Linked DNA regions of Coturnix japonica. The main gene of each other region encodes a partner of the protein of the gene in region 2 in a complex. Links are inferred from orthologs where the notes say so. Each region holds a gene or a part of one and is shown on either strand. Other genes may lie near its edges.

Region 1 (15,785 bases), on a different chromosome or scaffold from region 2:
CTGGTTACACGAAGCAGTGCAGTTAAGACTCTGACTTAATGCTTCACAAAAAGTGTTTTCAGTGGCACAGAACTACATGAATCTTCAGCTATGTCCTACTTAGCAGAGTCCAGCTGCCTTAAGAAGCAGCAGCGCAGAATGCAGCGGTTTGCCCTGTGCTACTTACAGTGAGGTTATCTCGAAGTAACTGCATGATGAGAGTGGAGTCCTTGTAGGAATCCTCATTTAGTGTGTCCAGCTCTGCTATTGCTTCATCAAATGCCTAAAACACACAAGGAAATTAAAAAAGCGTTTTCACTCTGCACTCTGAACTCATTTCTGCCTACATGAATCACATAAATTTGTAACAAAGCTTCCATATTTTTCTTTTCTACCAAGAAAAAGAAACCAGAATAAGCACCAGATTGCTAAAGAGCCAGTGGGAAAAGAGAAGTCCCCACGAAGGGCCAAGATTAAGGCCAGCACCAAGTACTGAAGAAGTAAGTACACACTGCCATATTGAACTATGACTCACACAGCTGAAAGTCAGGTCTAAGAAGAAAACTTAATAGCAATACTTTAATTAAAGGAAAGGTGAAGAGCTCAGTGGCTTAAAGTGACTGTAGAAGAGGAAGGTACTATTCAGTTGATACATATTATACATATGTAAGTAGGAAATGAAATGGAAGGCAAAGGTTGGGTGTTTCTGGGCAGAAGAGTAGGATTCTTTGTTTTGGGTTTCTTTTCAAAACAGTACAGGACATCAGGTATGTTTTAACAGAGACTAAAAGCCACGCTGCCCATCCATCTGTTACACATGAAAGCGCACACTGCAGGTCAGAGCTGAGAGCCATGATTAGAGAATTAGTCCAGCTAAGTTACCTGAAAACATACCAAGATACTTTAAAGATGATAACGTAATTAAGGAATTTCATATGAGAAACCATAATCATCTACAAGGTGCTATTGTAACCATGTAATTATCTCCTTAGCCCACATAAAAATTGGTAACACAGAGTCTGCTTACCGTCTTGGCCAGATTACAGGCTTTTTCAGGAGAATTGAGTATCTCATAATAGAAGACAGAGAAATTGAGAGCCAACCCAAGTCGAATGGGGTGCGTTGGCTGCATCTCTTTCTTGCTAATTTCAAATGCCTCCTGGTAAGCTTGCTGAGAGTTTGCTACCGTTGCTGCAAGAAGCAATTACAAGCGTATTAATGTACAGTACATCGCTGTACTTCATGGTACTCGCTTTCTTGGTCTGACTATTTATGCCACTAGGTATTTATAAAATTACAAAGGCACTCAAGGTTCTTTCAATGATTTCAGAGGGAACAGCCTGTGGCTCAACTACTAAGGCTGAAATATTTGTTCAGATAAAGGTCTGGGCTACAGAACTTAAATCCAGACAATACAGTGTGAGGGAAAGGAGTTTAACTAAATGACACATTTAAACTCTCCTGAGAAGGAAACTTTCCTTAGGCAGGTCATGTGTTCAGTACCTCAGTATGGCCTTTCAGAAGAAAGTGAAGTCCATTCCCTAATGGGTAACACTAAGTTCAAGAATGGTGTCAAACTAAGCTTGCAAGTTGTGGGCCAGATTAGACACCCACCAAGAACTCAGGCATAGTTCAGCATTGCTTTAACGCTTCCTAAGTTTAACTGACTTAAGACTCGGTAACCCAACGTCCCACACCTCTGTAAGCAGAAAGTCTGCAAACAGCAGACCCCAGCAGAACGAGAGCTTTCACCTCTACCTACTTTGCTTATTGTCCCCAGATGCCACCTCTGACAGGTATCTGTAGTAATCGCCTTTCATTTTCAAATAGAAGACCTTGCTTTCCGGCTGCGTGGCATTGACAATAAGGTATTTATCCAGGAGTTCCTGAGAAAGCAAACATTATTTTTATGACTTGGGAAGAAAACAAAAAGCAATGTCTGAAACCAAGCCTCCATTACAACAGTAAACACAAAGTGGTAGAACATGAACACGCATACTTGTGTGTAAGTCACTTCAATGTTCCCTCAACTCAGTAAGTAAAAAAGAAACCACTTGTATTCTTATCCTCAGAACATTTGAAGCTATTGAGAATCACTCCTGCAGAACCTAATGGCTATTGGAGCTTAATACTGCTTAATTTCCTAGAAATACACTACAGTAAACCTACACCCACAAGCAAGCTCTAATGAAGAGCAGCAGCCTGCTATTAGCACAGATGCAGTCACTTTTCCCACCACAGGTTTTAACTCTGTGCACATCAGAGAATCTGTAACAAACTGATTCTATCTGCAGCTCCAGCTGAAAACCTGAACAGCAGCACAGACAGCACAAGCGCACTCAGAAAGTGGTGAGAAGACTGAAAGTACTGGCATCATTTGTTCCTGAGGGTAGATCTGTAGCAAAACAAACAACAGAATAAAGGATCCCTCTCATTTAAGAGAAAGAAGCAACAGAACTAATTTTGGGGAAGTGCAAACCTTCTCCATCCCCTAAAAGGTACTGAACAATCCTCAGAAAGTCAGCATTCATTAACAAAACAATTTAAGCAAACAGCAAGCTTTTTAATCAGGATTTCTGCTATTGCTAAACTCACTTTCACACTGAGCACAGGCCAGCAGTTAGGTGGCCTTTAACACTGCCTTGCTCATTTCTATTTAAACAAAATGCTATTTTTAAAACATGTAAGAATACAAAAAATTCCTTGTGAAACAAACTATATTATTTAGGAGCTAGAAGTGGACTTAAACCCGTGGTTAAGCAGAACTGCTTCCCTGCTATGGTGATGCAGTATCTACAACACAAATAAGATTCCTTAAGGCTCTCTGAAGAATACTGCAGTACAAGCTACTGTTATTTTTGCTGTTGGATTATTACCAGAACATCATTGCAGATGTCTCTTAGCTCAGTCTCAATTTTCTCACGATATTCTCTTCCCATCTGCTGTTTTTTCTCATTCCTCTCTGTTTTCTGTTCAATGCTGGAAATCACACGCCAAGATGAGCGGCGGGCCCCCACAACATTCTTGTAGGCAACGGAGAGGAGATTCCTCTCTTCATTGGACAGTTCATGTCCTTGCTCAGTGACAGCCTTCATAGCAGCAGCCATGTCATCGTAACGCTCGGCCTGCTCAGCCAGTTTGGCTTTCTGTACCAACTCACTCTTATCCATGGCTATCCTGTAATTAGCAGGGAATAAAAACAGGAAAATACTTTTAGGTTGTCTATACAGCAAAAGTTAATGCTGATGGGTGAAGAACAACTCACAGTTACTAAAAGGTGGCAAGCTTACCCACTCCAATAGATACAAATGGCTTTTAGTGTAAAAAATTGACAAATAACAATGTACATACAGAAAGTATGTATAATCACAACCCTGAAAGCACATAACCATTATTCCTCATACTTCTGCAAAATCTAAATGAGCATGAAGGCACGTCAGCATGTTCCCTGAGTAAGTCTCTCCTCTTTCCCATAGCAGCCACAGCTCAGCCTGGGATACACCTCATCATGCTCTGCAGCAAGAATCAGCAGAGCCTTCATTTGTGTTGGTTGTGTATTAGTCTTCAACAGCAATTGTTTCAGAGCACAGGGCAGCTGGACAACCCCTCCTGACAGCAAGCATCTCCTGCTCACTGCTAGAGATGTTTCTATGGGAATGTACCACACCCACTATAGATACAGCTGACAGCAAGCACAGAAAATACATTTATACTGCTCTACTAGAAATTTATTCTTTATATATAGATAGATGCATGTCTAAAATGGGCAATTCCACACACCTAGAGTGGCTGCGGATTTGGGCTCCTAAGGTCTTTAAGTAACACAGACATTCACAGTAATGAATGGGATGTGGCCTGTGTAACAGTCACTGCTGCAAAACCAATTCAGCAAAGAAAAATGAAGTTACTTAAGAACTTGTCAGTATCAGACTGAGCACTGCATGTTCCTACAAGACAGCAGCAACATTTATTTAACTTGGACACTAAGCTAATGTTGTATTCCATCAGCTGGGCCCAAGTTTGCAGGAAAACAAAATGAGTCTCAATGCTGAGGACCTCAATGCCTCACAGACTCCCAGGTGTTCAGATTTATCAGTAACATTTCACCATACACTTAAAATCTGCACTTCCTGACAGCCCCAGAATGGTCATTTTCATTAGCACTGAGCAGTAAGATTCCTTTCTTGCTGCTTCATGTCAATCAGTGCTCTCAATGTCTAGATCAGAAATATTCAGTGTGAGACCTAAACAGCCTACAAACAACTCGAAAGAAACAGGAAAAAATAAATGAGAAAAATATATTCCTAATTGGCTTTCACAGGCTTCTATTAATTAGGCAAGAGACTGTAGCTCTATGTAAAGGATTGACAAAACACCGGTGTACATGTACACATACATAGTAAGACTAAGGAAATCACCAGACTGTTCACTATTGAAAGGATCTATTATAACTGCTGCAACTTCCCAAACCACTTCCTTAACTCAGCACCGTGTTTAGATGATGTGCTTCATATGGGAAGTAAAGCCATTTCTTCATCCATGAACACAGCACACCTGAAGAATGTCTTTTATGTCCCAAGAGCCAAATTTAAGTAACAGGACACCTAAACAAAACACTCTGAACTTCCTCAGTCTGCACAGCTTCTAGAAGTCCTGCCACCATCTTCTCTTCCTTTCAGGGAACACAATCATACATTAGCCCAAGCCTGCATGCTGAAGCCCAAGGCAAGCAATGCCAGTAGTTTACATTTCACCACTGAAAGGTCAGTCTGATCTTTGATCTGCGTTTTGCCAATAGTGGTCTGACGTGCACACAAGTCATTGGTCCACAATTCTGTTTACAAACAAAATGTAGATCAGTTTTGAAATGCTGAGGAGTTTGTTTTATCGAGCTAACTGACATATTTACCTTTGGATGCAAGTCAGTCTGTGGCAGCCAGTGGGTTCATGTAAGGATGTGCTGAGGGAATCAAGAGGGAACTGCAAGGACCAAGTGCTAGTGGATAAAAGAGCTCCAGAAACCACTTTAACACACCAGCTATACAGCAAAAGCATTAGCACAGAGCATTACAATGCTGCTTCTCAAATAACTTCCTTTAGTAGCACACATTCATGCACATCTTAAGTGCAACTCAAAGTCATTACTGAAGATGGAGCTCCTCAGATCTTCACAGGCTTAAATTAAGAATTCATTATACAGGGGTTTGAACTGTTGATTTATCTCAATATCTGTACTCTCAGCGTGTTTGCTATGAAACTGCAAAGTACTGTTCCATAAAATGGAGTTAACAGAACTTAAATGCAGCAAGGAAAACATTGCCCACACCAAGATGTCTGCAACCTGCCATTCAGCCTACCGTCACTTCAGCCACAGGGTGCTGTGTAAAGATCACCACTTTGTTCTGTTGCTTACCTTGCTAGAAGCCTGGAGAAGAGCTTTGCAGAGCTATGCTGGCTTGAGCTCCAAAAGAGGGAGGTGTTTGCCAGAAGGAAAAAAAGATACAAGGAAAGGAGTGATGTTTGAAAAGGCAAAGAGGCAAGTATCACTTATAACTAGTCCCTCCCATAAAGGAGATGGAAGCCACACTAACAATGGATCAGTGTGCCACAGTCTGAAACAAGCAAAGCCTAGAGCTAACAATAGTCCTAGGCCACAAACAGAAGCCAGCTAACAAAGGTTACCTGCAGCTGGGAGCCAGACACATAGAGGTGACAAACAGAAGGCCAACAGGAATCATCTGCTCTGGTACTACTGAAGCCATGCCATGTTGGCAAAAGGGAAAGAGGGAAGATGGACAAAGGAGGGAAGACGTGCAGATCACAGCCATGGAGGAGTTGCAGAAGTTGCCTGTTCTAAGCGGAAGATACTCAGATTTGTTAATACATTGAAAATTCTTAAGATTGACTTCTTAAGAATCTGTCAAACGACAACTTAGCAGCCCTCCGGAAAGAAGCGGTTGGGCACCACTTCCAGGAAGGAATGCCGCTATTAGCCAGCAGCTGCAGCCATCAGTACAAGCAGCCAGCAATTCAAAGCACCCTGATTCCCCGCACTCAAAGAGACAAAAACTATCTCTCCCTCATACAGCCTAAACTTCCAACCCGTTACAAGTGCAGGATTGTGTGTATAGACAGGAGATTACAACTGCTTACTTCCCTCCCCACAAAAAGTTTTACGTCTGTGTAGGTGAGAGCTGATACAATGACGAACACCTCAGGTAGAGCTCAGGATGTTTATAAATGCTCAGTTACTTTCAGTGCAAGGAGGAGAAGGTGTGCCCATCCTGGACACAGCACCTGAACTCAGGACACCCAGAGCACTCAAGAGAAGAGTGATGCACAGCAGTGGAGGTTTACTGTCAATAACAGCTGAAGAGCAAACCATGTAAGGTAACGTTCCTCAGAAGACTGCAAGTGCTTGAGGAGGACTGAGCATCTTGCTGCTCAGCACTTACAGCACCTGCTCTGCGGCCTTCACTGCTTCCAGGCTGAACCAACTCTTTAGGACAAAGCCAAAACAGATCAGAAGTAAGTGAGCTTAAGGTCTGTAGGAACTAGATGAGAAATGACGCTGAAAAAAAATCTGGCTTATGTAACATATTGAACTGACAAGACAATACTAATAAGCTGATGCTGGCCTGAAGTCTGCCTGTTCTTCTGATGCTAATTAAGTCATCGATTTCTGTGTATTGTTTTTCTCCTCACAGTAACTACCAGAGTCTGTCAGACAAACACTTCCACCTCATTATAAAACTACTGGTTTGACAAAGCCATCACTAACGAGTCACACAGAGATGCAATTTAACAGACTGATGTTTCACTGGGAGAAATGAGTATGAAATCAGATTCAGTGAAATGGGACACAATCATTTCTCGGTCACAAACTGTGTAGATCCGTTCAAATGGTAACAGGAAAAGCATTAGTGTGGTACAACATTTATGGTTCAACTACCAACACATGGATGTACCTTACAGGTTTGTGGATAGGCAATGAATTACAAAATTAAACATGTCTGTGAGGTACGTTCCATTCTATTTCTGTAATTATTGAGACTAACAGCTTTTATTCCTGAAACAAATGGCAAAGCCATCATTCAGGTGCACACACGCTGACAGCAGAGCTACAATGCTGGCAGAACCTGTGTGATACTGATGGCAGCCACCATCAAGCGGGCATCGCTCGGTCAGTATTTTCTGCATGAAAGGAATTGCCCTTCCATAAATGGAGTGCGATGAACCTTCTTTGCTTTACCTCAGCCATTTCACTTCGTTGTGTCTCTCTATTTCAGTTCCCTCCAAGGCAACCATCTATTGTTGAAAAACTGATCAGAAAATGGACGTCTGATACAATCACAACACTGAAGTCTTCTGCAGCCACCCTGAGCTTGGCTATGACAAAAGTTCAGTACAATATACTGCATGTTTAAGGAAGGGAAAAGAAAAATGGGTTTCACAGCTGTGATATTCTCACTGACCTTGTGCAGCACACAACACCAACCTCCTCTGTACCTGCTGATTAGAAATACATCCCGGCCTTCGGTGCTAATCATTCCGCAAACGTTAAGATCACATTAACATTCTATAAAGTCATGCCTCAATTTGCTGGGCAGCTTTCTGCCACCATTAATTGCTCTTTCCTCAAACTGATTTTCCCTATCATTTGGAAAAATGGTACAAAGGCTTTCAATCTCTGCAAATAACCATGGGATCTTCTATCAGAAGTAACAAGAGCAGGGATGGAAACTGACACTGTATGGACAAGTTGAGTTTAGTGACCGCAGCCTTACTGTCCCTATTGACTTCTGATGAGGAACTGGAGGCTGAGAAGCATTGCACTGCTCCATACCTATGGCACTTCACGCAGGACAGCTGCGGGTGGAGACAAGCACGTGGTTCCAAAGTACAACATACTTACGTGGTAACACCTTGTTCCAGTGAATGCGCCTTTAGCCCGAGTCCAAGTGCAAATAGTCGAGTTATCCCACAAAAAATCTCCCCCCAGGCATAAAATTAATGACAAACGAATGTATCTGTATCACAGGTAAATCACTTGTTAATAACAATCTGAAAACATTTATATTACAGCGTAGAGCAAAAAGTGTGGTCATATAAAAGCCATTAAAATAAGGCCTAGTCCTGCTGGGATTTATGAGGACACCAGACAGGCTGCAGTACAAGCTTCTCATCCCGTTATTCAAATAACTATTGACTTAACTCCTCCTTATTGGAGTTTATTCACATACAGCACAAAAAGCTGCATACCAGCAAAGGGCTGCTTACAAAAAAAAAGGACTCTATCAAAATAGCAGAGATCAGAACATGCAGTACTGACATAATGAGGTTGAGAAAACTGCACCGGGCCCATCTGTGCACTGAGTCTACCACTCCACTGGTACCAATTTAATAAACCAACTATTACATAAACTATATTTTTGCAGGTTTTTAATATCAAGAGTGAAGAAAACACTCACGTTCTTTTCTTTCCTTTTCTAGACCGATTTGCATCTCCATATTGCCTTCAAACAATGCAAGCTACTCTTTAAATACAAGTACTACAACTTCTGCCTGAGGTCCTGCAGCAGCGCATGTGTGAAGACACAAGTATTCCCATAACCAGGAATGCTACACAACCTTAAAATTCTTTTGTATTCTTCTGCTTCTACAACCCTGAGTGATAAACAGTTTTTCTTCCTACCCCATAAAGTTATTTTAACGGTTGGCAAGGAATTTAACTAAGTAACTGAATGATACTGCAATGGCAGCATGAGATACATTTTTGCCCTACGTGCTAACATAGCGACTGCATCCCACTTGTTATCATTCCAATTAATATCTAATTATACATACCTCATAAAGGCCTAAAGTTGTTAGTTCTAGGTGACTAACCCAACCTTCTTATATATTGGGGATAGCGTGAAGTCAGCTTTGCAGTCCTCCCTAAACTCATCTCTATCCCCAGATAAGAATAATTTAAGATTAAAAATAACACCATCGGTGTAACATCTTCTGAAGCACCGCAGACGTTTCATCTCATCACCTCTCCTAAACCTGAGCGGGCTCACACGGATGGGCCCTACAGCAGGCGCCTCGTAAGAGCTCCGGGCTTTGTGAGCGCCGCGAGAAGGCCCGGAGCATGGAGAGGGTCGTGAAGGGAGGAGCCCTCGGGAGGAGGAGGAGGAGGAGGAGGAGGAGGAGATGGAGGGGGCCGCCAGCCGTGCCGGGCCCTGCCCTGGGGGCGGATCGCCTCCTCCCCCCGCCCGGGCCGAGCCCTTCACGGGCGGCGACAGAGGGCGCGGGCCCGCGGCTCGGTCCAGGTGTGCGCGGCCTCGCCCCGCGGAGCGCGGTGACTCAGGCGGGTGTGGCCGGGCCAGAAGCCGCCCCGCAGCGTCCGCCCCCGCGGGAGGGTCGCACCGTTACTCGGCGATCGGGTGGGGACGAAGCGGCGCGGCCGGTTCCGCACGGCGCGGGGCCCTCCCGCCGCGGCCTCCACCTCCCCCCAGGCGGCGGGTCGGGAGCTGCAGGCCTCCCCTGCCCGCTCCCCGGGCTCCAGCGGGACCGCGGCGTCGCGGCCCGGCCTCGAGCGAGGGGCGGGCGGCCGCAGACCCTCACCTGGCGGGGGGCGGCGCGGAGCGCGGCTGGATCCCGACGGAAGAAGCGAACGGAGCGCGGCGGCCGCTGGGCGCACGCACACACACACCCTGCGGAGCTGCGGCCCCGCTTCCGGCCTCCAGGACACGCCCCTTCCGGCGCCGGGGGGAGGGAGGGGGGCAGCGCCGCCTCCTGATTGGACGCTGCCCGGCGGGCGCCATCCGGCTGGCGGTTGCTATGGGCTCCGCCCTGAGGAGACGGAAAATGGCGGCGGGGCGGGATGGAGCGGGGTGAATAAAGCGACGGATCCCAGAGATCCGTATCAACTGCTGCAACCAGAGGGACGGCCCGGGCCAGGCCCTGCGGTGGTTGTTGCATGGACTGAGAGTTTTATTTAAGGAATAAAGTCTTGGGCCGCTCAGCTTTTGTGATTTATTTTTTTTTTTGTTCGTTTGTTTTATTTCTCTCTGAGCTGAGGTAGATCCCAGGAGCAAACAGCTGATGGCAGTGCACCATCGCTGTGTGCGAGATGCTGCCCAAAGTGTCACCCAAAGAGAAAGGGATGGAGCTACACTGTGGTACTGAAATAAAGCATTCAAAATATCATCGTAATCTACTAAAGGACTTGTATTTTTTGGTTCTCTTACTCTTTTTTTCTTTCCCCTCTGTGTTCTGCATCCACAGGCTGGGCCTTCCAGTTGTTCCAGAGCTGAGTCACACAGGTCACTGATCACAATTTGTGTGTCTTTTAATGCAAGGGGGATAGAAAACAACAGCACATAATTACATTCAATCTTGGTAATTCCAGCCCCTGCCGTTGTAGGAAGGGATTCTGCGACAGTGAAAAGCTACTGGAAGAAGGATCACAGTCAGGTCTGCAGCAGCCTTTTATGACCCTAAAAGCAAGAAAGAACTGGCTGGGGAACTATTAAAGCAACAGTATTCCCATTTCTTGCAATAGTCTGACTTGAAAACTCATTTTAAATTCCCCCTGTGATGTTCAGGTATTTTCTAATAGGGAAATGTCTGTATATACTGTCAGCAGTTCTGTCATCAAGCTCAAACATCATCTGGACTGTGCAGATCATGGCAAAGTACAGAAAAATGGAGGTACTGCTACTCTGAACACTGTGATATTTTTAAACACCACTGTGTTTTGTATCACACCTCAGAAAGAATCCTTGAAGCTAACTGAGGTGGCAGGGGATGATGCTGAATGGAATTAGGATGCTGGTTTAAGGCACCTGCTATGACATGGGTGTCCAACCTTTTGGCATGCATGCCGTACTTGTAACAAACTGCACCAGCAAAGAAGACCTGCTGTCAGCACTACTGAAACACACCACCCACCGCCTCACTGTGCTCACAGCCAATGTTTGCTGTCCATAAACGTTCAGCAAGTGTCACTACATACCAACAGGGGGGCATTTTTTCCACATGGAGGAACTCAGTGACACGTCTTTGCTTCATACGCACTTCATACGCATCTTCCATTCGCTCCGATTGCCCCTCTGCTGCCATCTGTCATATGGCAGCAAAATGCCATACCACCAACGTCCACTTCTGACAGCATGGGCCAACATCATAAATATATGTAGTCAAACACCTATTTGATTTTGATGGTCTGAAGATTACTTTACACAACAAAGGAAAGAGCAAAACTGCAAAGCAACAGAGCAACATATGGCAGGGAACTGCGTGAGCAAGAAAATGTAAATGACCTGAATAGTAGAAAATGGTGTGATGGGAAATAAGGGCAGAATAAACGACTTGGACAGGGCAGAAATTCAGCTCCAGGAATGCAGTGTTGGCTGTAGCGTCCCAAGCAGAGAATGCTATTGCTGGGGAGGTGCAATGAACTCTTTGTCATGAATTAAACCCAGGTAATTTATTGCAGGCTGCAAGTAGTGGCAGTGCAGAAAAGCAGCATAAATAGAACTGAATGCACTGCTGTAAATTTTGTAGCTGTTGAGACCTGTGGAGTTGCTGTGCATTTCTAATGTCAGGTAACACCTAAAAGAATTCAAGGACCAAAAAGCAAGCCCTTCCAAGATGCCAGCTTTAGGAAATCCAGTTTCCAAGGGTAGAAGAGGGATGGAAAGGAACGCCAGCATCTGGGCTTTGGCTGTTGTCATGTTGAAGGCCTAAAAACCCAAAGACTGAAGAAGTACAGAAGCTGCCCAGAGCTCAGAAGTTCTTCATGAATAGAACATGGAATATTCAGCCTTCATCCTGTGCAGAACCTGACTGTCAAATAAAAGAGTTCACAGCAAAGAGCAGAGCTTTATCTACTCTTAAATAGGACCGCAATTTCCCTCTTCACATTTCTACCCAAGATCTCAGGTTGGGGCATGCAGCGAATCAACCACAAAAGAGAAGGTGGCTGTTCCTCCTCCTCCCCATGTAAATGACCCTGAAATCTTTGTTTTTCTCAGAGAACTCACACTGAGAGCTCTGAAGCAGCACGTTTCCAACCTCTGGCTTGTCGTTCAAGGTGTCTCTCTTAATAGACACCATCCAGTGGGCCGTCAGCAGCTTAACAGTCCATGGGGGCTTCCAAGGAAGTGGCCACTGATGGTCAGAGCTGGGGGATAACTCTGAGGATGGCACAGGGCTGATAAAAGAATTAATCAGTAACAGCATGGAAAGCTGGAAGGGCAGGTTTGTCCGACACTGGTGCTGAGGCTTATTTCATGCGCTCAGTGCTCGTAATTGCTTTCCTCCCAAGCAGTTCAGTATGCAGCTCTAGGATGGGCTTCCTAGAGCTTTCCCCAGCAACCCGGATAAGATTTCCTTCTAATTCATGTTTATATGCCAGTTCTTCCAGCAGGCTCCTGCATTTGAGGTGCGCTGATTAAACCAATGGGGGCAGAGGACGTGGGGCAATGCCTCCTCTCACCTCCTTCATTGCAAAGGTAGAACAGTTCTGCAGGTTTAAGCTGCAAACCATCCCAGCCTCACTCCTCACTCTGCTTTCCTTGGATTTTTTTATGTCTTTTTCTCTGAAAATAAAAGTCTGGTTTTCTTCCTGCCACCTGCTATTCCCATAGGAAAGAGCTGCTCCGATATCATGAAGGTGCCTCCACTCCCAAGGGCAAACAAAGGGCATTTCAGCACACCGATCTGCAGGAAATGTCAGTGACCAAATTCCATGTGTTGCTGGAAATTCCAGTGCTGCTTGTGGGCCACCCGAGTTCCCTCAGCAGGATCCTGCTCCCAAGAATCACAGAAAATGGGCTGTCTTCCTCAGGTTTGTATGGACAGAAAGTCAAACAGAGAGACGCAGGACAGCCAGGGTTCAATGTGCTGTTAGGCACAAAGCCCATAACAGCGTGAGGCTGCCTTGAAAATCCCAGCTGAGACTTCCCTGTTCATACTAAAGATCTGCCTGGTTCTGCAAAACATCTTTATTTCAGGCTGGATTCATTTATTGAATGCTCACAGAGCAGCCAGAGGCCAGCAGAGTATATGGGAAAGTGTTAATGCATTTACCTTTGGAGTGCCAGAACATAATCTAATTATCCATTTTAATGCCAGCTGCCTCGGAAGACAAAATGCTCTTAATAAAGAAGTGACTGGGACAAAGAAATGGTGGAATGAAGATAGCAGGGGTTTGCTCTCAAAGATGGATGAGTCTGAGATGTGGAGGGATAACAAAGCATGCAAACAAACAGTTCACAAACATAAATGTATCAAAGGATCTGTGACTGTAACCCCAGAGAATGAGACAGGATGTGTCATTTTGTTTTAAAACAATTTCCTGCCAGACTCTTTATGGGAAGCACAGCAAATCAAAGAGCCCTGGGACTGTGGGTGACAGCAGCCGCTGCGTCCCAGCGCTGCTCCCAGACCTGCTGCCCAGCAGCTGCTGCAAAGCAGCCCAGCAGAGAGAGATGTTTGAGCAGACTGATAGAGGTGGGAAATGAGAGGAGCTCCTGAGCACATCGACACACTGCTCTGGGTCCTGTAGTCTTAAAGACTGCAGTGATGGTGGTGAGAGATCAGCAAGGAGCCTTTACAGGTGGATCTAGGCAAGGACTTCCATATCCATATTAGCTGTGTCAAACCAGAATACAGCCACACTACAGCCACAGCACCACATCCTGCCCCCTTGGGAAATGGACTCAGTCAGATGCCATTGTTGTCATCTCTGACAGTTCTGAGCCTGTACTCCTCTCTTCAAAGGGCAGTTATGATCCCTCCCAGCGTGTTCCTTTGGTGCTCATTTCTCTGTGGTATTCTATGCCTGTGTATCTAAACAAGGAAAAGATCAGAAGCTGCGATGCCACCATCCCCACCATCATCATCATTGGCCAGACCTGCTGCTAGCTGTGCATTGCTCATGCTGTCCTTCTTCCATAAGCACGGCAATAAGACATTCCTGGGCACAGAGAGCAGGCAGTGCTGGTTGGGCACAGCACAGCGATGGCGGTGGCCCAGACAGGCCCTTTCTCAGGCTCTGTGCTGCTGCAAACACTCACTGTGCCCACCCTGAGCTCAGCTCTGGGGCTGACTACTCTCTGTGCAGTCCCAGGCAGGGATGTGTGAGCCGGCACAGCCTGCAGGCACCAGGCATAGAGAGCCCCTTGGGAACAAAGGAGAACTAGCAGGCCCAGCCTGACCCTGCTCTTGGAGCACAGTTTTCCCACTGTTGGTGTGGTTCCAGTTCAGCTGGTGAGGCTGGAAACACTGGAAACGTTGCTTCATGCACGCCACAAAGCAGAAAGCACTGAGTCCCAGGACTCTGCTCCAGGTGCTGCAGTGTCAGCTTGAGCCTCGTGGCAAAATTAACTCCTTCCTACTCAAGGATGAGCTCTGCACTCCCTGCAGCAATCAGTTAACACGGCCACAGCAGCTCCCTGTGGTGCATGTGCTGGAACCCAGGCACCAGCCTCAGCCTGGAGCTTCTTTGTGCCCCCAGGATCTCTCCTCTTGCTGCACACCCCATCTTGCTTTTCAAGAACCATTTTTCTACTTAACCACCAGCCCCAACTTTCAAAGTTAATTGGGGCTGGGGAGGTATAAATAGACGCTGGACCAGATGGAATCTCTGCTGTGGTTTATAGCTAGCTGAGCCATCGCATGTTCCTCTCATAGCCTGAGCAAGGGCAGTATTAATTATGACACTGCCCAGGCAGATTGCATGGGAGGTTACGACAGTGATGCTCAAGCTGAGGTTAAATATAACCTGGCCAGGACGTTTTGCTGAGTGAGCACGACATGGACAACCAGCACAGTTTGCAAGGCGTTTCTGCAGCAAGCTACAGGGCAGCAGGCATTTTGCTTTAAGAAATCACTGGCCTTGCACTTTCCCTGCACTGCATGATGTACAAAATGCATCTCAGTGTCACACACCATTGTCAGACATGGAGAAATCTTTACAAAAGCTTCCTCGGGAGCTCTGTGCATCACAAGCTGAATCAGATGTGCAATTACAGAGCCATGACTTAAGAACCTAAAACCCTTCTAAGCTTGATAGAAGGTATCAGGCCTACAAACAATATGCAGGGAGAATTTAATCTTGCAGAGGCTGCCGTTATTTGCAGGGAGAGATTGTGTTTGGGATTAAGAGCCAAATTACTGCATAAGTTTTTATTAAGTCTTTATATTTTCAGCCGTACCTCAGTATGGCTGCTTTGGGACAGGATCCTGGCTTTATGATGGACGTAAATCCAGAAAAATATTGCAGATTCTCTGAAATGGGCAAAATAGAAGCAGAAAAAAAAAGAAAGAATTTGTATCCTATCTGAGCTGCTGATTACTTAAAGCTGAAATACAAACATTTCATTAAAGCATGGATTTTCTGGAAGGCACCGAAAAGAGGCAAAAATATCTAATTTTCCCAGCATCCCTAGAAGCAACAAGAAGCCCCGGGGGATTACAGCCAGGATGGCTGGGTTGGAAGAGGCCTTAGAGCCCACCCAGCTTCCCATTGCTCTTAGCTGGCACCCAGCTCAGGCTGCCCAGGGCCCATCCATGGCCTCAAGCACCCTCAGAGATGGGTCACCCACAGCTCTGGGCAGCAGTGCAGGGCAGTGGGCAGGGACATGGTCAGCTGGACCAGGGCAGGTTGCTTCTTGCAGAAGTAAGGATGAGCACATCTGATTGATGATGGCAGAGGGAAGTAATTTGATGTCTTCTGGCAGCCCTACTCCTGTACGAGCCATAACTTAATCACAGCTGTGTGCAGAGCTGGCTTGGTGTGAAGGCAGCGGCCA
Region 2 (13,821 bases):
ACTGGTTTTGGAAAACATGAGCCTGCATACGTGTGTACACATAGGGCCGTCATCCTCCCAGAGCAAGGAGGATGGTCACCCAACAGGAGGAAACCCACAAGGAGGATAAGGACGGACCACAGCAGTGCTTGGGCACCCAGGGAGCACCCGGGGCCGGGATGGGCACAGGTTTGAGTATGGATGGGCAATTCAGGCACACTGGGAGGTGTGAGCACACACATCCTCAGGGTATCCTCAGGCAGTGTTAGAACACACTTACCGCCTCGAGTCATTAGAGAAGGCGAAGGAATACACGCCAGCAGTGTGGCCTTTCAGCTCAAAAGCCCTGGTCACTTCCCGGAAGTCACCTTTCTTGCCAAAACATACTTCCCAAACCTTCACATCGGGAGTAAAGCCACACGATGCCACAAACCTGAACAAAATAAAATAGTCTATTACAAAGTATCACTGTGGCTGGGTTATAGGGTCAGCTCCACAGCCACTGCACCACTGAGCTTCCCACTCAGCAGCAGCAGCCTGAAACACCTGCAGGTTCCTCACCTCCCGCAGGGTGATACAGTAGCATAGGCATTGTTCATCTGGTTAGTGTTAATGCTGGCAAGGACTTCACCCTTGGGGCTCCAGATCAGGATGGTAGTGTCACTGGAAGCTGTCATGATAAACTTCCCTGGGGGGAGGAAGAAAAAGGCAGAGATGAGGAGAATTCCTAGGCCTAAAGCTGCCATAGTCACCAACAGCTGTAATGGTTCCTAAACAGAGAAACTTGTCTCTGCATCAGAACTGTCAGGAAACCAAAAGCAGCACCAAAGCAGCAGCACTTTTCTCCTGGCACAGAGCACAAAGCCGTGCCAACAGGCCCATGGCCGGGTATGTACCAGTGTTCAGTCAGGACTCAGCAGCTCACAGCTGCCAACCCAGAGCCCCCCTGAGCTTCCACCCGGCACCTTTCAGATCCTACTTGCAGAGCTCAGTGCTACGCTCAGTCAATGCAGCAGACTTTATCAGGTTGTGCTTTAACCAGGAGAGGTATCTAGCTTTCAAAGTCAGGGATTACAGACTGGTAGATGATTAGAAGTCACACTACGTTTGTCCTGGATTACTGGTGGCGTCGCATTTTGGATATTTGCTTGTTTCCACTTGCTGTGCTTTCACTTTTCATCTCAGCACGGACACTGAGTTCAAATTTATCTTCAAGCTACTTGTTACAGGGTTTCAATTTTCACTCCTGCAGCCAAACAAAGACCTCAGTTAAAAATTCATGGACTTTTCTCTTACAGAGTGGAACGTGCATCCACCCGCTGCCAACTGTGCGCTGCCACGCAGCTGAAGCACGAATCCACCAAGCCTCAGCCATCAACATTCACCCTTCTCAGGCTGTTCTAGGAGATACCAAGGGCCAGCCTACGCTCCTGAACCTGTCAACTGACTGCAGCCATTTCTCACTGGCTGAAGCAAGAGCAACAAGCCAGACAACAGTGATGCTCAATACTGAGACCACGACTCTTTACAACAGTGTCCCTGAGAGCCTAAAATAAGACACTGCAAATCAGGCAATTCTAAGCTTCCTTAGAGATTTCTCTCCTCAAATTGTTTTCCAGCTTACTCAATAGTAAACAAAGGCTAAGACACAACAACTAGAATAACACAGAATCGAGCAGGCCTTGATCAAGTCAAGGACTATCAACATGTTCAACCCAGCGGCTGTTGCTCAGAAAGGAAATCCAGGTGGGTGTGGGGGCACAGCAGGGGAGCAGCTCACCTGTCTCTGCGACTCCCATGTTAATGACGGGAGCTTTGTGCTTCTTTGGGAAATCCTCGGAGGATGGTGTGAAGGTGAAGCTGTCGTCGTCCTTCTTCGTCACTTTATAGACACGAATTGTCTCTCCGTTTGCCAGCCAGACGAGGAGCGCCCTAAGTGGAAGGACGGGAACCGAGCCGTTAAGCAGCAGGTTGCCGTGGTCGGCCCAGCTCCGGTGTGTGAGTTACCGGTCACCGTGGGGCACCTGGGGGAGAGGTGACACATCAGTTGTTTTATGAGGGCTCGGTACCTGCCCTGCGGTAGCTCCGTCCCTTCCTCTGCCCTCAAAGCAATTCAGCAGCACCGAGCTGCCTCCCCCGCAGCTCCCGCACCCCCCTTATACCGGCCGGCAACGCGGGTGTTGTGACACCGCCCCGAGCCCCGCGTTAAGGCGGGACGTCCCGCATCGCGCCGCCGGTGCCACACGGGGTTCCGGCCCCACCTGCCGTCGGGGCTGAAGCGGACGAGCTCGGCGTGGTCCAGCTCCACGTTTCCCCGCACGCTGCGGTGCTCGCGCGCCGTGAAGTCGCGTGTGCTCCAGAGCCGCACGGTGCGATCGTCGGCGCAGGACGCCAAGTGCTTCCCATTGCTGCTGAAGTGCAGGCAGCTCACAGCGCCAACGTGACCCTGCGGGGAGCGGCCGTCAGGGCCGGGACGGGACGGGATGGGACGGGACGGGGGGCTCCAGCGGGACGTGGGGGCGGCCGGTACCTTGAGCGCGGCGGCCAGCAGGCGGTGCGTGAAGCCGGGCTCACGCTGCGGCTTCTCCCTGCGCGGCCGCGGCTTCGCCCTGCGGGGACTGTCGGGGCTGGAGGCGGCGGGGCCGGTCAGCACCGGGCCGGTCAGTGCGGGGCCTGCGGGGAGCGGGACTCAGCGGGGAGCGACCGCGGGCAGGGCGGAAACGGAGCGGTACCCACAGCCGTACCCACACCGGTACCCACAGCCGAACCCACACTTGTACCCACTCTCCCGTCACCCCGTGCCGTACCGGTGGCCGTTCTCCCCGGTGCAGCCCGGCGCAGCGCAGCCGCCACGAGCAGCGCGGCCACGAGCAGGAGCAGCCCCAGCCCCAGCGCCGCCTCCATGGCCCGACAGCTCACGGCCGGGCGGGGCACGCGCTGCGCATGCGCCGACACACGGCCCCGCCCCGCCCCTTCCTGGCGCGCCTCTCGTTTGGCCCCGCCCCCTCCCACGTGACCGCGCGTGGCCGGAAGTTGCGGCGGCGTGTTTCTATGGGGGCGTTAATGGCGCGGCCGGTACCGGGCCGGGTTTATGAGGGCTTTAATGGGGCCGGCGTATGGCGCAGCTTTAACGGGGCCGGTTTATGGCGCAGCTTTAATGGTGTCGGTTTAATGGTGTTGCTTTATGGTGCGGACGCGGCCCGGTCCCGTGAGCGCCGTCTTGTTGTTGCGGTGTCCCTTTCCTCCTTCCCTCCCGCCGTCCCGTCCCGGTTGTCACGTGTTTCCGCTCCCGGCCGCAGCGCGCGCCGCCTGCTCGGGGACACGCGCGGGGTCGCTGAGGATGGACGTGGAGACGCTGAGGAGCCGCAGGGAGCCCAGGATCGCTGCGGGACACGGGGCACGTCACGGACCGGACCGGGCCGGCTGCTCCCACCCCCCGACCGAGCGGCGCCACGTACACGGCCGGAGCGCGGGGAGGGAGCAGTGCTGCTCCAGCCAGGCCAGGGACGTCTGCGTGAGGCTGTCCATGCTGCTGGTGGACACCGTGCTGTTAAAGGACTCGAACAGGGGCCGGATGATGACGCTGAACTGTTGGAGCGGTTAAGGACGAACGTGGCGGTGGCCGCGGTGCCCTGTGTGCGGCCAACAGCGATCCTGCCTGCACTGCGCTGTGATGGGCGCACACAGCACAGCACAGCACAGCACAGAGCACAGCACACAGCACAGCACAGCACAGCACACAGCACACAGCTCACAGCGCACAGCACAGCACAGAGCTCATAGCTCACAGCACAGCACAGCACACAGCCCATAGCACAGCACAGAGCTCATAGCTCACAGCACAGCACAGCACAGAGCTCATAGCTCACAGCACAGCACAGCACACAGCCCATAGCACACAGCACAGCACACAGCACAGCACAGCACACAGCTCATAGCTCACAGCGCACAGCACAGCACAGCACACAAACACCCAGCTGAAACCATCATGTTCCTGGGTTTGCATCTGATCCTTTCCCAACCTCTAACCGATGGCTGCTGCATCTCAGCGCCAGTTCCAAAGTTATTGGGAGCAATTGCCCGTGTAGCAATGCCCAGCTCAGTCTGGGCACTTCAATCTGCTCCCCAAGGACTGACCGTTTATTCCTACCCTGCTGCTCTCTAGTAACAGAAGTTTCTTCTAAGCATCTGAGCGTGTCCCCTTCACGTGTCACCCACAGAACGTCTTGAGCAGCAGGGATCCCACACAGCTGGGAGGGGAGGGCGGACCTGGTGTGTGGTGGAAGGGGCACTGAGCATCCAGTGCTGACCCAAAGGATACGATCCAGAACTTCCAGTTGTGCAGCGTGGAGGAGCGCACGTAGTCGTCAAACATGCCGCGCATCTGGTCGAAGCGCTGGCGCGTGATGGGCACCCCGGTGGCTGGCAGCTGCTCCTGGCACAGGCTGTGAGGCACAAACAGTTCTGTGGGGCCACGGGTGGGAGCCTGGGGCACACGGCAGCTGCCCCACGTGAGAAGAGGAGCCCGGTGTGCCGCAGGGCTTGGTGGCTCTGCATGTTTCAAGCAGGCAACACCTTGTGCTCCGTGCCCCCCTACTTGATCGAGCTGTTGAGCTCCTCAATCTGCTCCCGCAGCCGCTGCGCCTCGTCCTGGAGAGCTGCCCGCTCCTGCTGCAGTTTGCAGATGTACTCAGCAGTCTTCTGCAAGGTGGTGGCCTTGCTGACCTGCAGGGTGGCAGAAGTGGGATGGTGCAGGGAGCCTCTGGGATGAGTAGGGCACAAGGGGCTGTGTGCCCCATTGCTGAGCCCTGGCATCAGGCTGCAGCCCTTAGGCACCACAACGTGCATGCTGGCACAGCCCAGGACCGTGTCATCACTAGGCAATGTTCTGTGTCCCTGCACGCCTGGCGCCAGCCCATGCAGCACTGTGTGCTCACCTTAATGCTGGGCTGGGCACTCAGCGTGCTCACCAGGCTGTGTAGTGTGTCAAAGCCCAGCTTGATGTTGAAACGTCTCTTCTGCTCAGCAGAGATGTGTGTGATGCGCCGGTTCTCCATCTGCAGGCAGCAGAGATGGCCTTGGGCCTCTCCCTGCATTGGAGACAGGCTGGCCCCAAGCATTCATCGAGCGTGGGGGTGAGTGTGGGGGGCAGCGGGTGGGGGTGCACGTGGAGAAGCTGCCCCTGTAAGAGGCAGCACTTGTTCCCACCGTACCTTGCTGGAGTCAGGCCTGCCCCGACGGGATGAGGGATGGTGCAGGGAGACGGTGGCACTGGGTGGTGGAGCAGCTCCTGGGGACACCTGGCTGGGCTTGGGCCAGTCACTGCCTGGGGGAGTAGAAGGGTGCACTGGAGAGAGCGTGAGCACTGCAGCGCTGCCCTGGCTCTGGGGCAGCAAGACCCTCAGCTGACGGCCCCGTGTCTGACCACGTCTTGTTGCCCCAACTAATCCCAAATCACTCTCATTTTTACAAGACATGGGAGCATTTGGGACATGAAGTTTTAAATTCCCAGCGGGGTGGAAACCACCAGGAGAGTCCTGAGTGCAGCAGGGCTGCGGTTTGCAGCACTCAGCTGGAAGTGGAAATGAGCTTCCTGCTCCGGTCTGGTTTCTGTGGGTGAACGCAGGGCGCTTCCTGCCTCCAAACCCGGCTCTGGTTTTCAAAACCACATTCTGACACTTTGCTACGTTTTGTATTTTCCTGTTTATGGTTTTGCCCCCAGAGAAGGAGCCAGACGAATGTTCTGTGCCCTCCCCAGCAGAAAGCAATTGCTCTCATTCAGGTGGGTAATTAAAAGCAGTAGGAATAAAAAATAAATTGAACTTTCTCAGAAAAGAAACACCAAACACTAAACCCCGTGTTTGGTTCAAACTCCCTGCAGGAACCGGGGCATCCTGCGGGCACCCAGACTCACCACAGACCAATGTTGGGGAGAGCCGCTCAACCTTGGGGACACGCAGCGACCCTGGGGCTGCACCTGCCTGCAGCACAGGCACCTCCTGGGAAGGGCTGGAGCCAGGAGACAGCACCGAGCTCAGCTGGGCCACTCTGGGCAGGAAGACGTCAGGAACATCGGGGACATTGCTCTGCTGCAGAGGGAAGGCAGAGGGAAGCAGGAGGGAGGTTGGGGCAGCGCCCCATGCACGCCAGGTTTACACAGCCCCTTTGGTTACTCAAAACCCGCAGTGGGACCAGGGAGGGAGCCCCACAGGGCCCTGAGGTCTCTCCCAGCTCTGCCATTTCTCTAATTGGGGCTGACTCCCACCCGGCCTCACTCTGAGCTCCTGCAGTACCCTGACCTCCAGCCCCATGTACATCTAACTCCATTTTGCAAAGGGCTTCACACAGAGCTGCTTTCTCTCCTTGTTCCCCAGCAACAGGAAAGTAATTCCCAGCCAAAGGGAACAGTCCCCAACCTGGAGATAGGTGGGTGCTTACCGGAGAGGCCGGGGACGCGGGCATGAGCGCGGGGCCATGCATGTGTGGAGCATCGAGGGCTGGCTCCTGCTTGGCTGCAAGAAATCAGAGAGCAGAAGGGCCCTTCTGCGTCGGGCAGCTGGTGCTTGGGTGACATTTTCCTGCCCCATGGCAGTGCCAGCCCCGAGCTCCAGCCCACATGTCCATCTGCCCCAGGGAAGGCAGTGACGGCTCAGGGAGCAGCCCACCTCTCCCAGCAGCCCTGCACCCCAACACCGCCACCCTCAGTTCCCCTGTCACCCCTCACCTGTGGCCAGCAGCTGGGTCAGGCAGACGTTGGGCACTGTCAGGTGTGGAGGCACAGGAGGGTCTGGCGGCCTCTTTGCCTTGGTGGCCTTCACCTTCGGCCGCTCACCCAGGGATGGCCCTTTTGGGGTAGCAAACCTGGGCGCAGGTGGCACGGCGGGGTGCAGGTGCTGGGGCGCAGCTGGGCTGGGGTACCCTACGGGCACCACGTCCATGGCGTAGCCCAGGCCCGGGGTGTGCTGGGCAAAGCACGGCACGGGCAGCGGGGATGCAGGGTGGGTGAGGAGCGAGGGGCTGGGCGAGGGGGGGAAGGGGAACTTGGAGTGGGGCACAGAGGCGGGGGAAAATGGCGGCTGTGAGCCCAGCAACGGTGTGCCAGGGGCCTGGCTGGGGGCGGTGTAAGGGAGACTGAGCGGCTCCGTGCCGAGGCACTTGCTGGGGAAACCATACTGCAGCAAGGGCTTGGGTTTGAGCTGGGGGCTGAGGCAGCCAGGCACAGCGGTGAGGGGCTCGGGGGCCAGTGGGGGCTGCTCAGGGCCAAAGAAAGCACCGTGGAGGCTGAGCTGGGTGGCATCACCGGGCTGTGGGGCACACGGCTGTGTCAGGAGGGGTGGCTCGGGCACCGGCAGCCGTGGGTCATGGGCCAGGGTCCCGCTCACCTGGAGGAGAGGGCTGGGTGGGAGTGGGGCATCGGGGCCGGCGGGCACGGTCCCTCCATTGCCATAGAGGGGCTCAAAGCAGGGTGGCTCCTGATAGCCCAGCGGCATCTGCGCAGGCAGCGGCCGATGGCCAACGAAAATATCTGTGGGGTGAAGCAAAGAGATGGTGATGGGCAATGGGGGCCTGGGGAGTGCTTCAGCCCCTGGAAAGGGGGATGCAAGGTTGGGGCGTGCTGGAGGGAGCTGCATGCCGTGCCTGGCACTGGCAGGGACTTGCTGGCATCACGTTCAATTGGCAGGGCTGGAACAGCTCCTGGCTGTATGAGCAGATTTGGTGCCCTGGTTGTGAAACACCAGAGCTTCACATGGCTGGAGGGAAGAGGCAGCTCGTGCACAGCCCAGCCTGGCCATGCACAATGGGACAGGAAAACCCGCCCAGGAACACCACCCAAGGGTGGAGACCCCATCCCCAACACCCAGCTGAGGCCGCATGCTCTGGCTGCTCTCAGGGATCTGGTCTCTCCCTGCATCCCCACAGCCAGCCCTGAGCTGTGCAGTAGCTGAGCCCTTATGCTGTGGGGCAGTGGCAGAGCTGGCAGATGTGGGGCAGCCCTGAGGACTGTCCTGGAGTCACAGGGGACAGTCCCACTGGGGTTGGGGCAAGTGTTGGCCTCCCAGCCCCAGTCCTGCTGTGCGTGCTGCCTGTGGCTAACCACATCCCATGGCCTTCCCGAAGCCGAGCCCCGTGACCCAGCCACGACTCCCTCTCCCTTCCTGTCTCCTTCCCACAGCCTCAGTGCTTCCGCAGGCCCAGACACCATGGCACAGAGTGCTGCCTGCTGCCTGGGGCATCACCTCCACACTGAGTGGGAGTGCTGGGTGGGTTTGCAAGCAGCTGCCTGACACGGGGTCTGTATCCAAGCAGCTTCTCCAGCTCATGAGCACTCACACCTCCACTGTGTGTGCTCAGCTGCCCTGAGCCCTTCTGAGCTGCTCCTGCCCATTCTGTGTGCCCCGGGTGCTGGCCATGCTATAGGGCTCCTGCAGGCTCTGGCACAGGCTGCCTTGCCTGGGATGCCCTGGCTGGAACAAGCAAAGCCTCTGGGACTGGTAACTTTTTGAATCTACACCTGAGGAACAAATGCACGTGCAGAGGGAAATGCCATGACCAACCCTAATCGCACCTGCTCTGCTCAGCCCTGACATGGCCCTTTCTCTCCCAGCCCTGCATGCAGTGGCTGCAGCCAATGTGCCCTGGCTGGGGATGGCATTCAGCTATATACCCCTCATGGATGGGCAGCAGCACTGCCGCCCTGCTTCTTCCAGCCCACAGCTAGAGGCAGTTGGCCGCTATCTGCACAAGCATTCCCATGCTCATAATGGCCTCCAAGGCGCTCAGAGCCTCCCAGCTCCACCATCCTTCAGGGCAGCAGCTCATCCTCCTCAGAACTGAACTCTTCCTGCTCCCAGTGCCACCCAGACTGGGGCTGGGACACACCGAATGCTCAGGAGCGCTGCAGAGCCACATTATTGACAGCAACATTACAGAACCATGACACCTGCCCTCCAGAGCTGGCGCTTGGTTTGCACAGGGGCACAACTATGCATGGTTAGCAACCCTAATGGTTGCTGCCTTCACAGGGAGTGCAGCACCTGGCTCCACACTGCACCCAACCCTCATCTGTGCCCACGCTATGCCATCTCCTGTGCACACTGTGCCATCTCCTGTGCACACTGTGCCATCTCCTGCTGCTGGCACCAAAGCTATGCATGCATTTATAGGCGTTTCTGATGCCCAGCTCTGCAGATTCGATTCCTCTTGTGTTGCTCGCTGTGCTGCCGCAGTGGGTGGCAGATGCTGCCTGGCACAACAGCTGGAATCCCCCCGTCCTCCACCTCTCCTTTCCCTTCCCCACCCTGCAGCTTTCACCCCTGCTCCTCTCCGCTCACACTGCCCTGACCCACTGCCGAGCTGTGTAGTGCAGCCCGGGCACGGTGCCACCCGGGGGATGAGAGCCTATGTGGTCAGCACCCCATGCCTTCAGCATTCTGCTCCAATACTGGGTGCTCTCCAAAGAGACTCCTGTTACAGAGCCTGCTCCCATGGCTGGGACACTCCGTTGTTGGCCCTTGGCTCTGGGAAAGCACGGCAGCACCATGGGGTGATGCCACCCCGTCAGCCTGGCCCCAGGGCCCCAGTGAGCAGTGCAGGTCCTACCTGGAGTGCAGTGCCAGCAGCACGCAGGTACTGGGCTGGGCTGCTCCCTCGTCTCTGCCATCGGGGCTTCTCCACCCCCCCACGCTGCGCTCTGGCACCCACTGAGGACACGACGTGGTTCCTCATTTGGGGATTGGCCTGTGCCTGCTGACTGACAGGCACCAAGCTCAGTGACAGTCCCCAGACACGGCGATGGCCCCGTGACCCCACTGGAGTCCTGAGCCCCTGCTCTGCCCTGCTGGCCTTGTCTGTAAGGCACAGACCCAGGATCCAAAAGCCCTGCACACACCGGCGGCAGAAGTGGCTGTGGGGACTTCCCTCAGGGCTGGGTGCACTGCAGCTCTGGCACACAGCGCCCAGCGTCTGGCAGCAGCCTCTTCCTGAGAAGGGGCTCTCCATCCTCTCACCCTACAGCCCTGTGGCCACAGCAGCAGCCCTGCACAAACCACAGCTGCACCTGCACATCGTGCAGCACAGTGACGGCGCTTCGTCCCAGGCAGCACCCCGGGGAAAATGCTCATAGAAGCACGTGGCTTTGGATGGGCACCACGGTGCCATGTGCCATTCCCTGCTGGAGGCCGGGCTGTGCCGCACTGTGCTCACGCCAGCAGCACCAGAGGGAACGTTGCCCATAGACAGAGATACTGGGGCTGCTCTGTGTCACCGTCAGGTGCTGCTTCAGGGCTCAGAACAGCCTCCCAGCTGCAAAGGACCTGCAAGGGGAAGGACACTTCTCAGGTGTCGTTCTGACCCCTTTGGGGTTTGCCCACGGTTCAGCCCACAGGGACGTGTGGGGGCAAGAAGTCGCGATGGCTGCACCCCTGGGCTTCCCAGCTCGGCACACCAGGCTGCCCCATGGCTGCCCTGCTCCCCACCAGCATCTGGTCTTGCATCAGCCGGTGGCTGCGTGGTGCAAGGGCCTGTGCTTCCTCCAGCAGAGGGAAGTGGGAGGTGGAGGCGGCTGCAGTGGCAGGGCAGGAGCCGTGGGCAGGCTCTGTGCAGGGCACGGACATGCTCTGAGGGCTCCCAAGGCCGGGTGCTCCTGAGGCTGCTTGCGGGGTCCCACCCTGCACAGTGCCCGTGCCACCGGCTCCAGCACATCTGAGGCCTCTGGTGTTTCGTGCATCAGCGGTGCCTGGCCTGGCACAGCCCGTGGGTGCCCTGCACAGGGCACATGTGACAAGGACACATCCTGACTGACTGCACAGCTCATGGACACCGCTCTGCTCAGTGTCCTGTGTCACAGGCAGGTCCTGATGGTAGGAGGACTGCAGGAGCAGGTGCTGCCAGGATGGCTTGCTTGTCCCCTGCTGCCCCTCAGCAGCCCTCTGCCTGTCCTGGACACCACCAGCACCACATCTGATTTTCAAGGCCAACCTGGCAGCAACTGTGACCTCAGAAGACACAGCACAGCCCATCATGGGGTCCCAGCACCCACCAGCTGCTCTGCAGCAAGAGAGCAGTGATAGGACAGTGGTACAGAACCTGCTCCATAGAGGTGTCCACTTTCTGTGGGGATAACTGTCCTCTGCCTGCAGCCAAGCCCAGGTGGCTTCACTCTCCTGATGCAACTCTCTGCTGGCAGAAGCCCCTTTCCACAGCTCCCAGCCCCTCCCTGTCCCTCTGCTGCCCCTGCGTGACAACAGATGTGCTTTATGCCTCCCCCGCAGCTCCTGCTGCTTCCAGGCCAGCTCAGCTCCATGTTCGACTGCAGGGTGTGCAGAGCTGCACAGATATAGACCAGCTCTTACCTGATATCTCCATGGTATCATCCAGGCTGGGCTGCAGAGGTGCCAGGTCAGGCTGGATCATGTCAGCATTCCCAATATATGCTGGAAGACAGAGCTGCAATGTTAGGGTGCTGCATCCCCAGCTCCCCACCTCAGGGCTGGCACTGCTGACCTCACTAACAGCCACCCACAGCCTCTCCCTGCGGGTCGCACCCTGCCCCACAGCACAGCGCAGGGACCATCCTCTGGGGGTATCCCATTCCCACCATTCTGCCCAGCAGCTTCTCAGGGGCTTCGTGCAGGGCCCTCAAACTTCTGGGCAAGGCTGCAAAGCCAAGAAGTAACAGTGTGCCAGGACTGAGCTGTCTGCCTGATCCTCCTCCTCCTCCAGCAGGAGTGCGGCCCCATGCGGGTCACCTACCGTCCTCGGGGAGCTCCTGGTGGGCGCTGGGTATCTGCGTCATGGTGAACAGGGTGTCAGAGATATCCGAGAGGAACGTGTCCAAGTCAAAGTGCTGCCTACCCCCCGGCTCCTCCTCCTCGTCCCCCAGCAGCATGGGCACCACGTTGCAGAAGAGCTGGTTGCACCATTTCTCTGTCGGTCTCCAGGCATCCTCGTCCTGCACGAGATGGTGCAAAGGAGCCGGTGGGCACTCCTTGCAGGCAGTGCCCATGTCTGAGGCTTCCAGCTCGGCTCACTGGTGCTCCCAGAGTCAGGCAGCACCCCAAGTGCCTTCCACAGCCATTGGGGCCATCACCGACCATGGCTTTCATCTGCCCTTCTCCCGAGCTGCCCAGGGCAGGGATCTGCGCCTCGTCCCACTGTCCCTGCCTGCCCTTCCCCATCACACTCACCTGCTTTGGGCTGCAGAGCTCTCCCTCCCGGCTGGACTTTCGGAGCTGGAAGGAGAAGGAAGCCTGGACTGGCGGCTGGCAGGGCTGTGTGCAGGGCAGCTCAGGCTCCGGCCCAGGCTGCCCCTGCTTCACATCTGCCCCCAGCACTCGGGCACAGCGGTGCAGGGCTGCACCCCTTTTCAAGATGAGGAGGGAGGAGGCTGGCACGGCGCTCCGCCCCGCGGGCAGGCAGCCAAGGCTGGTGCCACCTGAACCAGCACCAGATTATCGCGGCTGGGAGTGACACCGGGGTGACGCTGGGCCACCAGGCCTCGAGACACGTGCTGCCGGGCTGAGCCGCGGCTGCCAGCGAATCCCAGCCCAGCTCGGGCCCGCAGCGAGTCCCGCTCGTCCCACTGCAGCACGTGCACGGCAGGTGCAGCGCCGGGCACAGCCCTGGCAGAGCCGCACACCGGGCACAGCCGGCTGGATCCGGGCTGCTGGGGCCGGGAACGGGGTCACCGAACCCCGCCACCATCGCTGTGGTACAACCGGCAGCTCCACTTTGGGCACCATGATGTGCCACCCCACAACCAGGGGCAGCAGGGCAGCGCCGCTCACCCGCTTCTTGTAGTAGGTTCTCCACTTGTGGTACTCCCTCATCACCACCTCGATGCGCCGTTTCCAGTAGTTGCCCTCCAGCACCACGGCCTGGAGGGGCAATGCGGGTGTCACGGCCGTACGGCACCACGGAGCCAACCCACAGCCCCACACCCGCAGCCCACGCCTGCCCCAGGTGCCCCACGGCCGGGACCGCTGTCCTCAGGACACATCACCAACACTTTATCGCTCAGACTTCATGAACACAGCAGCCAATGATGGGAGCTCTGCTGCCCTCAGCTCCTCACTGTGCCCTCCACACCCAGATCCAGCTGCCATGACAGCCCACACTCTACCTCTGGTTTGCGGTGCTCGTCAGCCTCCGACCCCTCCAGGGGGGTGATGAAGCCACACACTGGGTTCTTCCTCTGCTCCACATCTGCCCAGGGGAAAACACAGTTGGCTTTGTCTGCAGCTCCCCCTGCACGTGTCTGGGCACTGCTCTGACGGTGCCTGCAGGGCTGGGCACACACTGTGCCATCGCAGGGAGCCGGGTGCTCAGCTGGGAGCAGGCAGTGCCCCATACTCACACTGGATGTACCACGCTCTCCAGATGGCATTGTTAAGGCGGATTTTATCCCGGCAAAGCAGCCGCTGCCCCTTGAAATTCTTCCACTTCGGTGACACCAGCTTCCCACTGCAACACCGAGCAGAGGAGGAGCTGAAGGGGACCATGCTGGGACCCCCAGCACAGCCCCAGTGTGAGAGCTTTGCTGATCCTGCAGGGCCTCCAGAGCCCCAGGATCACAGCATGGCAGGCAGAGGAACTGATTGCCCAGAGCTACAGATACAGCTCTGAGCTGGGAGTCCCCAGCTGCAGGGATTCCTGACCCCGACTGCTCCCATGGCTGCACCAAAGCTGCTCCTGATGGGCAGCATCCTCACGTGGAGCGCTGTGCGTGCACTCCTCCCTAGTCAGAAGGTTGTCCCTTCATGATCTCTGTTCTGCTCTGGATTCCTGTGCATGCAGGGAGGAGGAGAGGCTGGGGCTGCCTTGGTAGGTGTTCCATACCCCATG

Evidence for each region.
Region 1: the proteins of MLXIPL (region 2) and YWHAB are in contact, whole or in part, in a crystal structure (PDB 6YGJ), measured with the Homo sapiens proteins. The link is inferred for Coturnix japonica from reciprocal best matches to the Homo sapiens genes MLXIPL and YWHAB. Residues at the interface, in NP_116569.1 of Homo sapiens: Asp118, Ile120, Arg121, Asn124, Ala125, Trp127, Arg128, Ala129, Trp130, Tyr131, Ile132, Tyr134; in NP_003395.1 of Homo sapiens: Gly55, Arg58, Ser59, Trp61, Arg62, Ser65, Ser66, Gln69, Lys70, Arg129, Val178, Tyr181, Glu182, Asn185, Leu218, Gln221, Leu222, Asp225, Asn226, Leu229, Trp230.

What each region holds. Positions count from the first base shown.
Region 1 is NC_029535.1:4,604,446-4,620,230, forward strand, and holds the start of YWHAB (14-3-3 protein beta/alpha), read right to left. Parts: upstream 9,725-15,785; 5' UTR 9,589-9,724; intron 3,157-9,588; 5' UTR 3,150-3,156; coding exon 2,856-3,149; intron 1,866-2,855; coding exon 1,742-1,865; intron 1,171-1,741; coding exon 1,007-1,170; intron 263-1,006; coding exon 167-262; intron 1-166. UniProt on the Homo sapiens protein: Adapter protein implicated in the regulation of a large spectrum of both general and specialized signaling pathways. Binds to a large number of partners, usually by recognition of a phosphoserine or phosphothreonine motif.
Region 2 is NC_029534.1:126,665-140,485, forward strand, and holds the end of MLXIPL (carbohydrate-responsive element-binding protein), read right to left. Parts: intron 13,441-13,821; coding exon 13,334-13,440; intron 13,183-13,333; coding exon 13,100-13,182; intron 12,855-13,099; coding exon 12,765-12,854; intron 12,210-12,764; coding exon 12,165-12,209; intron 11,930-12,164; coding exon 11,731-11,929; intron 11,412-11,730; coding exon 11,331-11,411; intron 7,505-11,330; coding exon 6,704-7,504; intron 6,492-6,703; coding exon 6,418-6,491; intron 6,069-6,417; coding exon 5,894-6,068; intron 5,306-5,893; coding exon 5,193-5,305; intron 5,070-5,192; coding exon 4,917-5,069; intron 4,705-4,916; coding exon 4,577-4,704; intron 4,425-4,576; coding exon 4,301-4,424; intron 3,568-4,300; coding exon 3,438-3,567; intron 3,363-3,437; coding exon 3,253-3,362; 3' UTR 3,063-3,252; downstream 1-3,062. Other genes in the region: TBL2 (transducin beta-like protein 2), read right to left, coding at 260-412, 541-667, 1,760-1,911, 2,241-2,425, 2,510-2,652, 2,787-2,883. UniProt on the Homo sapiens protein: Binds DNA as a heterodimer with MLX/TCFL4 and activates transcription. Binds to the canonical E box sequence 5'-CACGTG-3'. Plays a role in transcriptional activation of glycolytic target genes. Involved in glucose-responsive gene regulation.